Caenorhabditis elegans: one gene and its partner. The protein of the gene in region 1 purifies or fractionates together with the protein of each later gene. This does not show direct contact. Each region holds a gene or a part of one and is shown on either strand. Other genes may lie near its edges.

What was found.
Region 2: the proteins of tbp-1 (region 1) and npp-13 purify together in Caenorhabditis elegans (affinity purification with western blotting, with the first as the bait; one study listed by BioGRID). This does not show direct contact.

What each region holds. Positions count from the first base shown.
Region 1 is NC_003281.10:7,380,561-7,388,317, forward strand, and holds tbp-1 (TATA-box-binding protein), read left to right. Parts: upstream 1-3,472; 5' UTR 3,473-3,478; coding exon 3,479-3,686; intron 3,687-4,310; coding exon 4,311-4,873; intron 4,874-4,925; coding exon 4,926-5,090; intron 5,091-5,135; coding exon 5,136-5,222; 3' UTR 5,223-5,564; downstream 5,565-7,757. Other genes in the region: hmg-4 (FACT complex subunit SSRP1-A), read right to left, coding at 54-691, 799-1,035; T20B12.3 (nucleolar complex associated 4), read left to right, coding at 1,559-1,606, 1,654-2,013, 2,061-2,440, 2,487-2,597, 2,646-3,261; Tetratricopeptide repeat-containing protein trd-1, read left to right, coding at 5,669-5,731, 6,556-6,643, 7,398-7,645. UniProt on the Caenorhabditis elegans protein: The TFIID basal transcription factor complex plays a major role in the initiation of RNA polymerase II (Pol II)-dependent transcription.
Region 2 is NC_003279.8:2,095,437-2,100,345, forward strand, and holds the start of npp-13 (Nuclear pore protein), read left to right. Parts: upstream 1-1,909; 5' UTR 1,910-1,910; coding exon 1,911-2,009; intron 2,010-2,063; coding exon 2,064-2,303; intron 2,304-3,153; coding exon 3,154-3,270; intron 3,271-4,909.

The DNA.
Region 1 (7,757 bases):
TAATATTTTTAGACGATTGTCCGATTTTTCGTAAAATCTCTAGATAAACTCACTCAGTAAGTGCCAACTCCAAATCTTGTTCCTCGTCTTTTCCAAACTCAAAAATGAGATAACTGTATCGTGTCTGTCCCTGACGGATTGGTGGATTCAACGACAACACAAAATATACATGACGTCCATCTTTATGAGGTACCAGGAATAGACGATTGATCGACTTGATAGGAATCTTGTAGTCGTACGTTTTTCCATGAAGTGCAATACTTGTTGGATAAACTTTGATGTCGTATCTTCCACGAGGAGTTGTGCATAGAATGTCGGTGAGAAGACATATCGGTTGCTCCGTCTCGGCTTCCAATCCAGCGTATGCCAGAACAGCTTTCTTGAATTCTTCAACTTTATCAGCATCCTCCTCATTTTCAAGATCAATTGGCATATGGAATCTCATCTCCATGAGCTGAACTTTGCTATCATCATTTTGGTGGAACTCCAAAACTGCCTCATTTTTGTTTGCAATAACATTCGATACATTCGTGCACGGGATTTCGAAAATTGGCTTATCTTCCCATGAAAATTCAACAGTCTTGCCTTTTACTTCGGCTTGTCCGTAGTTCCATCCTTTGATGAAAAGATTTGATTGATCGATGGATTGAGACCAATTAGAAGAAGTGAACGATTGGATTTTCTCGAGGTCCTGAAATTTCAAGTTTGTGATTGAAGTTTTTTGAAAAGCAGCAAGAAAGCAAGAGTGTTTTAAATGAAACTAAAAACAAATCAAAATGAAATGAACAAAAAACTAACAGTATCTTTGAATCCTCCGAAGCGGTGAGCACCTCCATCGTTGAGACCGACTCGTAGTCCCGGCTTGTTGCCAAGTTTTTGCCATTTCAGTTTATCGATATCGGATCCCGTGACATTAACTGATTTTCCACCCTTATCGCCTTTGAAGTTGAGTGATTTTTCAGTCAATTTAAGTGTTCCGAACGCCAAATGACCTACATCTTCAACATAAACTCCCGGGAATTGGAGCTCAGCCATTCTGAAAATTGTTTGTCAATAAGTCTAGTTAACGAGAGAGAGAGGGAAGAAATCGAAAGAAGAGACTTCAGAAAGTATACTCCAGCAGAATGTAGCGACACTGAAAGAAAATATCGATTTTCCGAGCGAAACTAATTACGAAAATAAACCCTCTTTTCGGTGAAATTTGTTCTGGTTTCTTGCAATATGAATTCATGAATTCAATATACTCATTACCAGAGATTGAATATGATTATTTATAATTTAAACAGAAATAACGAAAAGATTTCGATAATTATCATCAGATTCGTATCGATTCTAGAAGAAAAATTGGGAAAAGTGTTGCATTATTTTTGGCGCGCCGAAGCGAAAACAATAAACTACGGTATTCGATTGTACGTGAACACCGAGCATTACTTTGTACGCAAACATGACACCTGACGACATTTCACAAGGATTCATACTTTTTCGTTTTTTTTTCTCAAAAATGTCTAAATTTTCTGATTTTTATAGCAATCGTCGCTAATCAAATAATTTCAGGGCAATGGACGACGATTTGGACCAATTTTTCCATGATGATGCGGAGCAGAATGTAAGAAATAGCAAAATCTCATGTAAATCTTACCAAAACCTTTTCAGGCTGATTTTTCGGATGATGGCTCAGAAGATGAAGCGCCTGACAATGTCGATGTCAATTATGAGTTGGAGAGGGAAGAACCCAAAAGCAAGTCTGTTGCAGAATTCACTAAATTTTTGCAAGAATGCGAATATCCGGATGACATCATAAAATACTTTAAAACGATAAAGTTTTTCGAAAAAGACGCAAAAACTGGAGATATTGTTTCTACAAAATCACTAAAGTTTACTGTAACCGGTTTCATTCAATACTTGTTTGGCACGAAGCGAATTCAGCGTCCAGTTCTCAGAGGAATCGCTAAAATTTTTGGAAGATATGATATTTTCCACTTAATCTCCCCGGAGCTTGTGAAGTCTATAACGGTGAGTTAAAATATCTGTATTTGTTTATACGAATCACACATTTTCAGCACCTAAAAGAAACTCGCACCACCGCCTGGTTCAACCTGTTCAATTTTCTTTCATTCGTCCCGCACCCAACTGATCGAGTGACGAAACCATTATTTCGCCAGTTTTGTGTCAGAACTCCATTCAACGATAAAAGTATGAAAAAACGAAAGCTGACATGGATCTCAACTGACTATGACAACGTTTGGATGGCTGTTATGAATGGAAAAATTAGTGACAAGTTGACACTGAAACTTATTCCATATATCACTCAGAACGTCATTTCGAAATTGAAAGCACCATTCAAATCTGCTGATTTCTTTTTCAAAATGTTCGACAAAACTGACTATCATGGAATTCTTTCGCTTGGTGCTATTTTTCGTCTTATTTCAGAACATAACTTGTAAGAGATTTTATTTGAAATAGATTCATATAAATCTTTATTTCAGTGAATATCCGAAATTCTACGACAAAGTATATTCATTGACGAACCCATCTCTTCTCTATATGAGTCAGAAAGAATCCATTCTGACACTTCTGGATAGTTTCCTGTCGTCTACGTGAGTTGCAATATTCTAGAAAATTTATTCTGAATCATACCTTTTCAGCCATCTCCCAACATACATCACTGCTTCGTTCCTCAAACGACTCTCCCGATGCCTTCTTCTTGCTCCAATTGATGCTCAGGAACCAATTCTTGGATTAATTAGAAATCTTGTGATTAGACATCCAAACTGTTCTGAATTGGTTCATCGTGAGGTTCCTCAGACTCTTTACGATGATCCTTTCGACAATGATGAGACAGATTTACACAAAACTCGCGCATTGGAATCAAGTCTTTGGGAGATGAAACTTCTTCAATGTCACTGGAATCAAAGTGTCAGAAAACGAGCTCATTTCGTTGATAAATCGATTCAAAAAATTGAGTCTTACGTTCGATTCCGATGCACCGACGAGTTATTCTCTGTAAACATGGCAAAATCATTTGGCGGAGAGGATGGAGAAGCTGAAAAATATCGAAAACTGCAAGACGGGGATGAAGACGAAGAGGGAACAGGAAAGCCGGAACCGAAGAAAGCTCGTAGAAAAGGATTTGGTGGGAAATTCGCTCCAAAACACGAAGAAAAAGTCACAAGAGCAGTCGGTGTGAACTCTGAAGCGCCGAAAGGAATTCTTGATAGACAAGTTCCAATCATCGATGTTCCAACTTTATGGAAAATTTAATCAGATTTTTTGTTACAGTTATTGTTGTTCCACTTTTGTTGTTGTTTTTCCGTTTTCTCGTTTTTATATTTTAAATTTTCAAAATAGTACTGTTGTTTTTCTTTTAAAATAATTATTCCAGTGTTTTATTCACTGAAATCATATTTAAATTAAATATCTTGTTCCAATTTCTTATCCATTTTTCTTTTTTTGATTAAAAATATTTTTACAGTTCACAATGAACCTTAACAGCCCAGCTGTATCAATGCTTGGCGGTGACACCCCTGCACATGGTGGACCGAATTCCGTACTTGGAGGTCAAGGACCCTCATCAATTCTCACGGGACACGGTCCCAACTCTGTAATGGGACCAAACTCGATTCTTGGACCTGGAAGTGTTCTCAATCCACAATCAATTCAACCAATGCAATCACAACAAATGCACAGTAAGTTATTTGTGGAAAACTCATTTCAGGGTTTTTGCTTGAAAAGGATAAAACTAGCCCAAAATTAACTAATTTTTTTTAAAGAGACTGCTCATAAAATTTTCACTATTTTTTATGGCATGACAAAAAGTAAATTAACAAGAAATCAGAATTTTGCTGAATCCCGAGACTTCTATCACAGCAGCTGAATTACAGATTTTTTGAATTATCACCCTTTATAGAATATTTTGTTAGTTTTTCGTTAATTTCGGCAAATTTTTATGTCGTTAGGCGTCTAAAAATGAACATAATTGGCATGTCGATCATAAATGGGACTGAATCGACGATGTGAAGCGAGATAAACAACTAAATTATAAAATTATAAATTGTTCAATAAAATACACTAATTAAAAAAAACTGTATCCTAACTGATGCGACAAGGAAAAGTTAGCGAAATTTCAGATTTAAGCGAAATTAATACGTTTTTTTTTCGAAATTTTAATATTGTACAGTTTAAAAAATTTATGAAAAAATCTGATGAACTCTCTGTGCACGTTTATTTTAGCCGTGACCAGTCTTTCAACTTTATAACCTTTTTTCAGTCTTAAAGCCGTTTGTCAAAATTAAAGATTTATATTATTTCAGGCCTTCAAGGTTCTTCAATGCAAATGCATTCACATCTCGCCAACTCCAATCTCAACTTGAACATAAATCCAGCTTCAGTCGGACCTGATCGTAATCCTGGATCAGTTATGCATCACAATTTGGACATCAATCCTCCATCAGTTGCATATCAGAATTTGACAGTTCCAATGACACCACTTGCATATTCTGTATATGATCGAGATGCTCTGACACATCAGGCTCCGGCAAGTAACATCGCTGCCACAATGGTTCCAGCAACTCCAGCAAGTCAATTGGATATTCCGATGCCAGCTCTTCAGAACATTGTCTCTACAGTCAATTTGGGAGTTCAATTGGATTTGAAGAAGATTGCATTGCACGCGAGAAACGCCGAATACAATCCAAAACGTTTCGCAGCAGTCATTATGAGAATTCGTGAACCAAGAACAACTGCTTTAATTTTTTCGAGTGGAAAAATGGTGTGCACTGGTGCGAAGTCAGAAGAAGCAAGTCGATTGGCAGCACGAAAATATGCGAGAATTGTTCAAAAGTTGGGATTTCAGGCGAAATTTACCGAATTTATGGTAAGTGTTTCTGGAAAAAGGTCACAAAATCATTTGAATAATTTTTTTGTAGGTTCAAAACATGGTTGGTTCTTGTGATGTTCGTTTTCCGATTCAACTTGAAGGATTGTGCATTACTCACTCTCAGTTCAGTACTTACGAACCAGAATTGTTCCCTGGATTAATTTATCGTATGGTCAAACCAAGAGTTGTGCTCCTTATTTTTGTGTCTGGAAAAGTGAGTTTAAGTTATGAAATAACCTTTTCTATGTTAAATTTTCAGGTTGTTATCACTGGAGCAAAAACAAAGAGGGACATTGACGAAGCATTCGGGCAGATTTATCCAATCTTGAAGGGATTCAAAAAATAACTTTCTTTTATTAAAATTGTTTTCATTCTTCTTTATTTTCAAATTTTTGTTTCATTTTAAGCCTTCCCTTATCCCTAAACCCGGATCTCGTATAATACAGGTAAAGTAGCTTCATTTTAGACATCTATGCACTTTAGAACCACTTTCTTCAGTCTACCAATCCGATAAAATCGTTTCGAATTCAATAAGCTTTCGATTAATTACTGCTCACCATTTCTCCCCGTACCTTGTATAATTTTGTTGATGTTATTTTTTTTTGAAGAAGTGACATTATCAATGTTCTTTTCAACTTTCCTCTTGTTTTTCAAATTTCTCCCGTATTATTGAGAATAAAGTATTAAAATAGTTGTTGTTCAATCTACGAAATTGAATTTCTGATAATTTCTGTAATATATTTATTCATATTTCAAATTTATAACATTTCAGATTGAAATTTATCGTTTTAGATGATTCCAGCTGATATTATTGCATCAATTGCTGGATTAGTAAATGAAAAAGATATTGAAAAGGTATTTCATTGGTTTCTACATTTTCAGATATAAAAGAATATTTCTTAACCCGACAAAACTCGGATTTCGATCTCACTGTCAATTCTGTTTTTAAAAAAGTAATTAAGTTTCGAATTTAGTAGAATTTCTCCAAAATTTTTTTGCCAAAAGACTAGGAAAATTTAAAAAAAACAAACAAACTGAAATTTTAAAGGTTTAGTGAAAAAACTCCGAAAGAGAAATTGAAATTAGTGAAAACACAAGAAAACCAGAAAGAAAGTCGATTTTAATTTATTTTGAATCCGTAACAACTCAAAAACTTGAGCAAAAGTTTCGAGACCCGAAGAACTCGAGGGATGTCCAACTGGGGGGATTACCAACTCGGGGGATTGGCCCCGCCCACAGAACCGTGGCTTGCAATACGCCCATTTTTGCAACTGCCGCACGGTTTTAAAATTATTTTTCTTGTTAATTCTCGCTCTATTGAGAAAAATACAGTTTTAAAACCGTGCGGCAGTTGCAGAAATGGGCGTATTGCAAGCCACGGTTCTGTGGGCGGGGCCAATCCCCCGAGTTGCTAATCCCCCCAATTGGACATCCCCCGAGTTCTTCGGGTCTCAAAGTTTCAAATTAAAAAAAACAACACTAGAACCATAAACATCACATGTTGCTAAAGAATATCCGCGAAAAATGTAGAATAGTTTTTTTTGGATTTTTTTCCAAAAACTAATTTTTCGTCAAAATACAAAAAAAAAACACATGGTTATAAGATCGCTCACTTTTGCGCAAACAGTTTTTTGAAAATATAAAGATTCATAGTATCCGAATGAATTCAATTTTTTCAGATCACTTCTGAGTATCAGGACAACATTTGGGAATTCGTGGAATCACTTGTGACTCATGTTCTTGCCAGTAATCATGTTGGATATTCTGGTAAGAATGAATATTTTAACACCCTAAAAATATTAAAACGAGATAGAAGTTTGGAAAAAAAATTCAATTACAAAACTTATTTTTTTTAATTCAAAAATCGTACAGTAGAAATAATAGTATAAGGTTCGATGTGCTCTGTGAGCCAGAAGCTGCAAAAAAGAAGTGCAACAGGCTGGCTTCTCTGTGCTCTCCAGGCGCCGGTCGGTGTATGGGCTCGGCGCTCGGCGCCCGGAGCCTCTGTCTCTGTTGTGTTACTTCGTGTGTGCATGTGCTCTGGAGAATAAGGAAAACGAAGAGAAAAAAGCAAAGACGAAACGAAAAAAAAACGGGGGAAAAAGCAAGCACATGCATGCGAAAAGTGTGTTGAAACTGGAGAACTTCTCGTGCTATGTGGAGCCAACGACAGCGAAACGAGTCGGCGGCGATGGTTGGGTGGATGAGGGCTTCGTCTAGTGGGAATCGACGGTTTGGTTCGATTCTCTACCCCTTCCACGACGCATTGATTTTAGGTTAGGCGGTTTTGCAATAATGAGATAGGATTCCTCTAGGGATGAGGATCAAAATAAATCTATTTTTGAATTTTTCACAAAAAATCAACTAAAAGTCGTAACTGTAGCAAATCGTCAAAAATTGTAGGCATCCTGAAGAAACCTGGCACCAAAAAATCAGAAGGACTGAAAAAAACCACTCATTATTTTTGAATTTGGATTTTCTCAAGTTTCAAAAGAACAGAAAATTTTCAAGCTATTTTCAGATTATAACACATCCTCGTTCATATCAGAAGAACTCGCTCGCCAAAAATTATCATGTGGTCTGAATATACCAAATGCTGTGTCAAAGTCCTTATGGGCACTACACTTGGCACATGAACACGTGGAAAAATTGAAAGATCTTTCTGATATACCTCCAATTGGATATCGTGTTATACTTGAGTTCTACCTAGTTTGGCAACAGCTTCTCATTGATCCAGAGGAAACTATTCGCACTGAAATTGAACCAATTGTAAGTTAAAAAATATATAAATGTGGATAAAAAGGTTATACTTTTTTTTTTTTTTTTTTTTTTTTTGAAAAAAATTTAAAATTTATTCAAAAAAAAATCAGACTTCTTTCTT
Region 2 (4,909 bases), on another chromosome or scaffold:
CTTTGCGCGTCGAATTTGGTGTATTCACATTACACACTGATTTCTGGCTTCCCTTGAAATGGAAGAGTTTTTGCCGAACTAGGCCGTTTTGGCTCGGCCATATCTGGGGTAGATTTACGGCGCGTTGCGTGTCGCGTCGCGGCTCGATTTTAGTTGTAAAACTAAATGTATTTGTCCGTGTGGAGTACACGACTTTCCCAGTCCGGCAGGCGATTGTCAATGGAGCGCGAAAAATTCAATGAGGAAGGCAATAACCCCGTAGTACTCTAATTAAGTGTCCCGTTTTTACGAAATTTTTATAAAAATTGGTTTTTTTTGTTTTTAGAGAAAATTATGAATATATTTTCTTGTTTTTCTAATCAACAAAAGCGAAATTTAATGTAAAATTACACGGGGTTCTGGCCTTCCTCGTTGAATTTTTCGCGCTCCATTGACAATCGCCCGCCGGACTGGGAAAGTCGTGTACTCCACGCGGACAAATACATTTAGTTTTACAACTAAAACCGAGCCGCGACGCGCCGTAAATCTACTCCAGATATGGCCGAACCAAAATGGCCTAGTTCGGCAAAAACTCTTCCATTTCAAATTATGAGTCCCCATCATGCCTAAGAACCCTCTATTTAGGTTACTGACACATCTGAAACCGGTGCTACAGTACCCTGCGTGGTGGGACCCGAAAATTTGAAATTTGGCAGAAAATGGGCAAGATGGGAGTCATTTTGAAGCTGAGAATGAGGAGAATGTGAATTTTAGAGTAATTTAGAGAAAAAAGTGAAATTGGGGAAAAAAAAACAATTTTTTTGGAAATTTTTTCATTTCAAAAATGTTCTTTAAATTGTCGTTAAATTCGAATTTCTCGATTTTCAGCTGTAAAATGACCCCCATCATGCCTGGGAATGCTTCAATTTCACACATTTCCCCATTGACACAGCTGAAACCGGTGCCACAGTACCCCGCGTGGTGGAAAAAAAACCCGAAACTTTCAAAAGAAATCCCTGATTTGTTTTACACTGAAAAATTGTTGAATTATCACGGGAACACAAAATTCAGAGAATGCGTATTGCGCAACAAATTTGACGCGCAAAATTATTAATATCTCGTAGCGAAAACTACAGTAATTTAAAGAATTTAAAGAATTACTGTAGTTTTCGCTGCGAGATATTTTGCGCGCCAAATATGTTGCGCAATACGGGCTCTCTGAATTCTGTGTTCCAGTAATTTTTACTTATAATTATTTTCCATAGACCAGTAAAACATTTACTGATTAAAAAAGCTCTCGACACAACTGTCACTAAATAATTCATTTTTTTAAAAGAAATTTAATGTTTTTTAGTGTTCAAATCATCCAATTTGTGATTTATTATCTGCTCCATGAGTTCCTGAGACCGATCTACCATCTGGCGGTGTACTTCTAACCGGAAAAGTCGATAATGTGGATGCTACGACACGCTCCCGAATTTATGTCTTTTTTTTCGTTTTTCTTTAAAAATAATACTCAATTTTCTTGAAACATTTTCATCGAAAATGTTTTTTTTTTCAATTTTTTTGTAAGTTTTTCATTTTCCCACTCAATTTGTACTGAATTCGATTCAATTCCAGCGGAAATTAATTTAAATTCAGCTCTTGGCAATGTGCCAAGAAGCTGGTGGCCTAGAACTCGAAATACTGGCCTAGGATTCATGCGGGATTTCGGAGTGTCGTTGCACCGATTTTTTCAAAATTAATTTTCGTTTTGCCGCGAAAAACGAGAATTATTTGGTTTTTAAAACGTTTTTTAACGATATTTTTCGATTATTTTCATATTTTTCAGGGTTTAAACTGGAAAATGTGGTTAATGTAAACTGGTTAATGTTGTAAATCCTTGAAAAAACCTAAACCAGTAATTTTCTCAATTTTTAATTCAATTCAGGATGCTACAGTTTACGGAGATCCTCGGAAGAGTTGATCATCAAGGATTCGCACAATTGCTTGCTAATCCGATTTTCCAAACCAACCGTGTCGGCCAAGAGGTTTGTAAATAATGTTTAAAATGTTAAAAACACCGAAAAATTCCCTTTTTCCAGAACTCGCAGCAATTCACAGTCCGAAATGGCGTCGAGCAGGAGCTTTGCGGTATTTTAGGCGGTTCAGAAGGCGACTGGACACGTCAGACGCACTCAGTTCAGAAGCAGATGATGTTTGGGGAGCGTGGCATCGAACTTCCGAGCCGCCAGCCGAAAAGTCACACCGCCGAGGATACTCTCACTGATGAAGGTGTCGTGGACGTGCCTGAAGCTGTAATGGATGATATTGACGAGGAAGAAGTACTTAATCACGGCCTCCTTGAGTGTTCATAATTATTGGAGCGAGCTCGCGTGGCACCTCACGAACTCCAGAATTTGCGGGAGTTCGTTCCGCGGGAACAGCAGTTTTTTGTTATTTTTGGCTTCTATAGGAAATATTTTTGATTTTTTGTTTTATAATATTCTTGAGAAACATCATCCGAATTGAAAATGTGTAAAATTATGAAATTGGCCGAAAACTGGAAGTTTTACAGAAGAAAGCCACTATAGTTTTTGAAAAAATGTATCAGGATCGCCAGTTTTGCGATTTATGCGTCGTAAAATATGTCATTTTGTAGAGAATTAAAAGTTTCATAAAAATTTTCGTTTGAAATTTTAATTCGTTAATTTCTAATAAAAAAATATTCAAAAAATCAACAATTTTACGTTAAAATCTTATTTCTTCAATTTTTAAGTTTTCAATAAAAACAATTTTAAATTTTCAAACAAAAATTCTTATGAAACTTTTAATTCTCTACAAAATGACATATTTTACGACACATAAATCGCAAAACTGGTCCTGATACATTTTTTTAAAAACTGTAGTGGCTTCCTTCTGTAAAACTTTCAGTTTTCGGCCAAATTTTATAATTTTACACATTTTCAATTCGGATGATGCTTCTCAAGAATATTATAAAACAAAAAATCAAAGATATTTCCTATAGAAGTCAAAAATAAAAAAAACTGCTGTTCCCGCGGAACGTGTTCCCGCGAATTCTGGAGTTCGTGAGGTGCCGCGCGAGCGCGCTCTAATAATTATGAACACTCCAGGTGGCCGTGATTAATTAATAATTTATCATGAAAACAACGTTTTAATCTTTAAATTTTCCAGCTCGACGAGGACATTTCTCGTGTTAAAGTGGAGACGGATCGAGCATTCTTCAACCACATGCTTCTTTCGAGACCTGCCGCAGTTCCCATGAATCCAGCACAGGCTATGGAACGAGATGTTCGTTAAAATCCCTTGCGCGGCACACCTCACGAACTCCAGAATTCGAGGGAATTCGTTTCGCGCGCACTTCTATAGATATTATTTTCTATTTTTTTGATTTATAATGTTGTTGAGAAGCATTTTTCCGAATTGAAAATGTTTAAAATTATGAAATTTGACCAAAAACTGACGGTTTTACAGAAGGCTTTCTTTAAAATGTATCAGAACCGTCAGTTTTTTGATTTCAAAGTCGTAAAATATTTAATTTTGTAGATAAAAGTCTGTTTCACAAAAATCCACGTTTGAAAATTTAAAATTGAAAATTGTTTTTATTAAAAACTGAAAAGTCTAGAAAAAATAAGATTTTAACGTAAAATTGTTGTTTTTTTGAGTATTTTTATATTAAATTAAAGGTGGAGCACCAAAAATTTAGACTTTGCTTTTTTGGACCCAAAATGTTCCAAAACTACCAAATTTCGTAATGAGACGTTCTGAAAATTTCTCAACAAAAAAAAGTTACGACCGCTCAAAGTTTTGGAAGAAATGGTCTATTTTCAGCTAAAATCTCAAATTTGTCAGCTTTTCAGTGCTGCATCGGTTGGTACTCAATTTTTATTTGACTAGCACTCTTTAATACATATTATGGTAGTTTATTACGCGTTTTTTCGTTGATTTGAGCCCATTTTGGGTTGATGGGTGCACAAAATTGTATTATATTTGTGCACCCATCGACCGAAAATGGGCTTAAATCAACGAATAAACGCGTAATAAACTACCATAATATGTATTAAAGAGTGCTAATCAAATAAAATTAAGTTCCAACCGCTGCAACACTGAAAAGCTGCTAATATTTGAGATTTTAGCTAAAAATCTACCATTTTTTCCAAAACTTTGAACGGACATAACTTTTTTGTTGAGAAATTTTCAGAACGCCTCACCACGAAATTCGGTAGTTTTGGAACATTTTAGGTCTAAAAAAGCAAAGTCTCAAATTTCGGTACTCCACCTTTAATTTCTAATATAAAAATATTCAAAAAATCAACAATTTTACTTTAAAATCGTTTTTTTTTATAAAAGATTTTCAGTTTTTAATAAAAACAATTTTAAATTTTCAAACGTCGATTTTTGTAAAATACTCTTTTCTCTCTACAAAATGACATATTTTACGACTACGAAATCGAAAAACTGACGGTTCTGATAGATTTTGAAGTAAAACCTTCAGTTTTCGGTCAAATTTCATAATTTTACACATTTTCAATTCGTATGATGCTTCTCAACAATATTATAAATCAAAAAATTCAAAAAAGAATTTCTATAGAAGCCGGAAATAGCCAAAAACTGCTGTCCCCGCGCGAATCGAATTCCCGCGAATTCTGGAGTTCGTGAGGTGTCGTGCTCGAATAATTATGAACACTCCGGGAGACCATGGAAAACAGGGGGTTCTGGCCTTCCTCATAGAATTTTTCGCGCTCCATTGACAATCGCCTTGGGAAAGTCGTGTACTCCACACGGACAAATACATTTAGTTTTACAACAAAAATCGAGCCGCGACGCGACACGCAACGCACCGTAAATCTACCCCCAGATATGACCTGGCCTAGTTCGGCAAAAACTCTTCCATTTCAATTTATGAGCGGAACCAGAGTTCCGTGCTCGT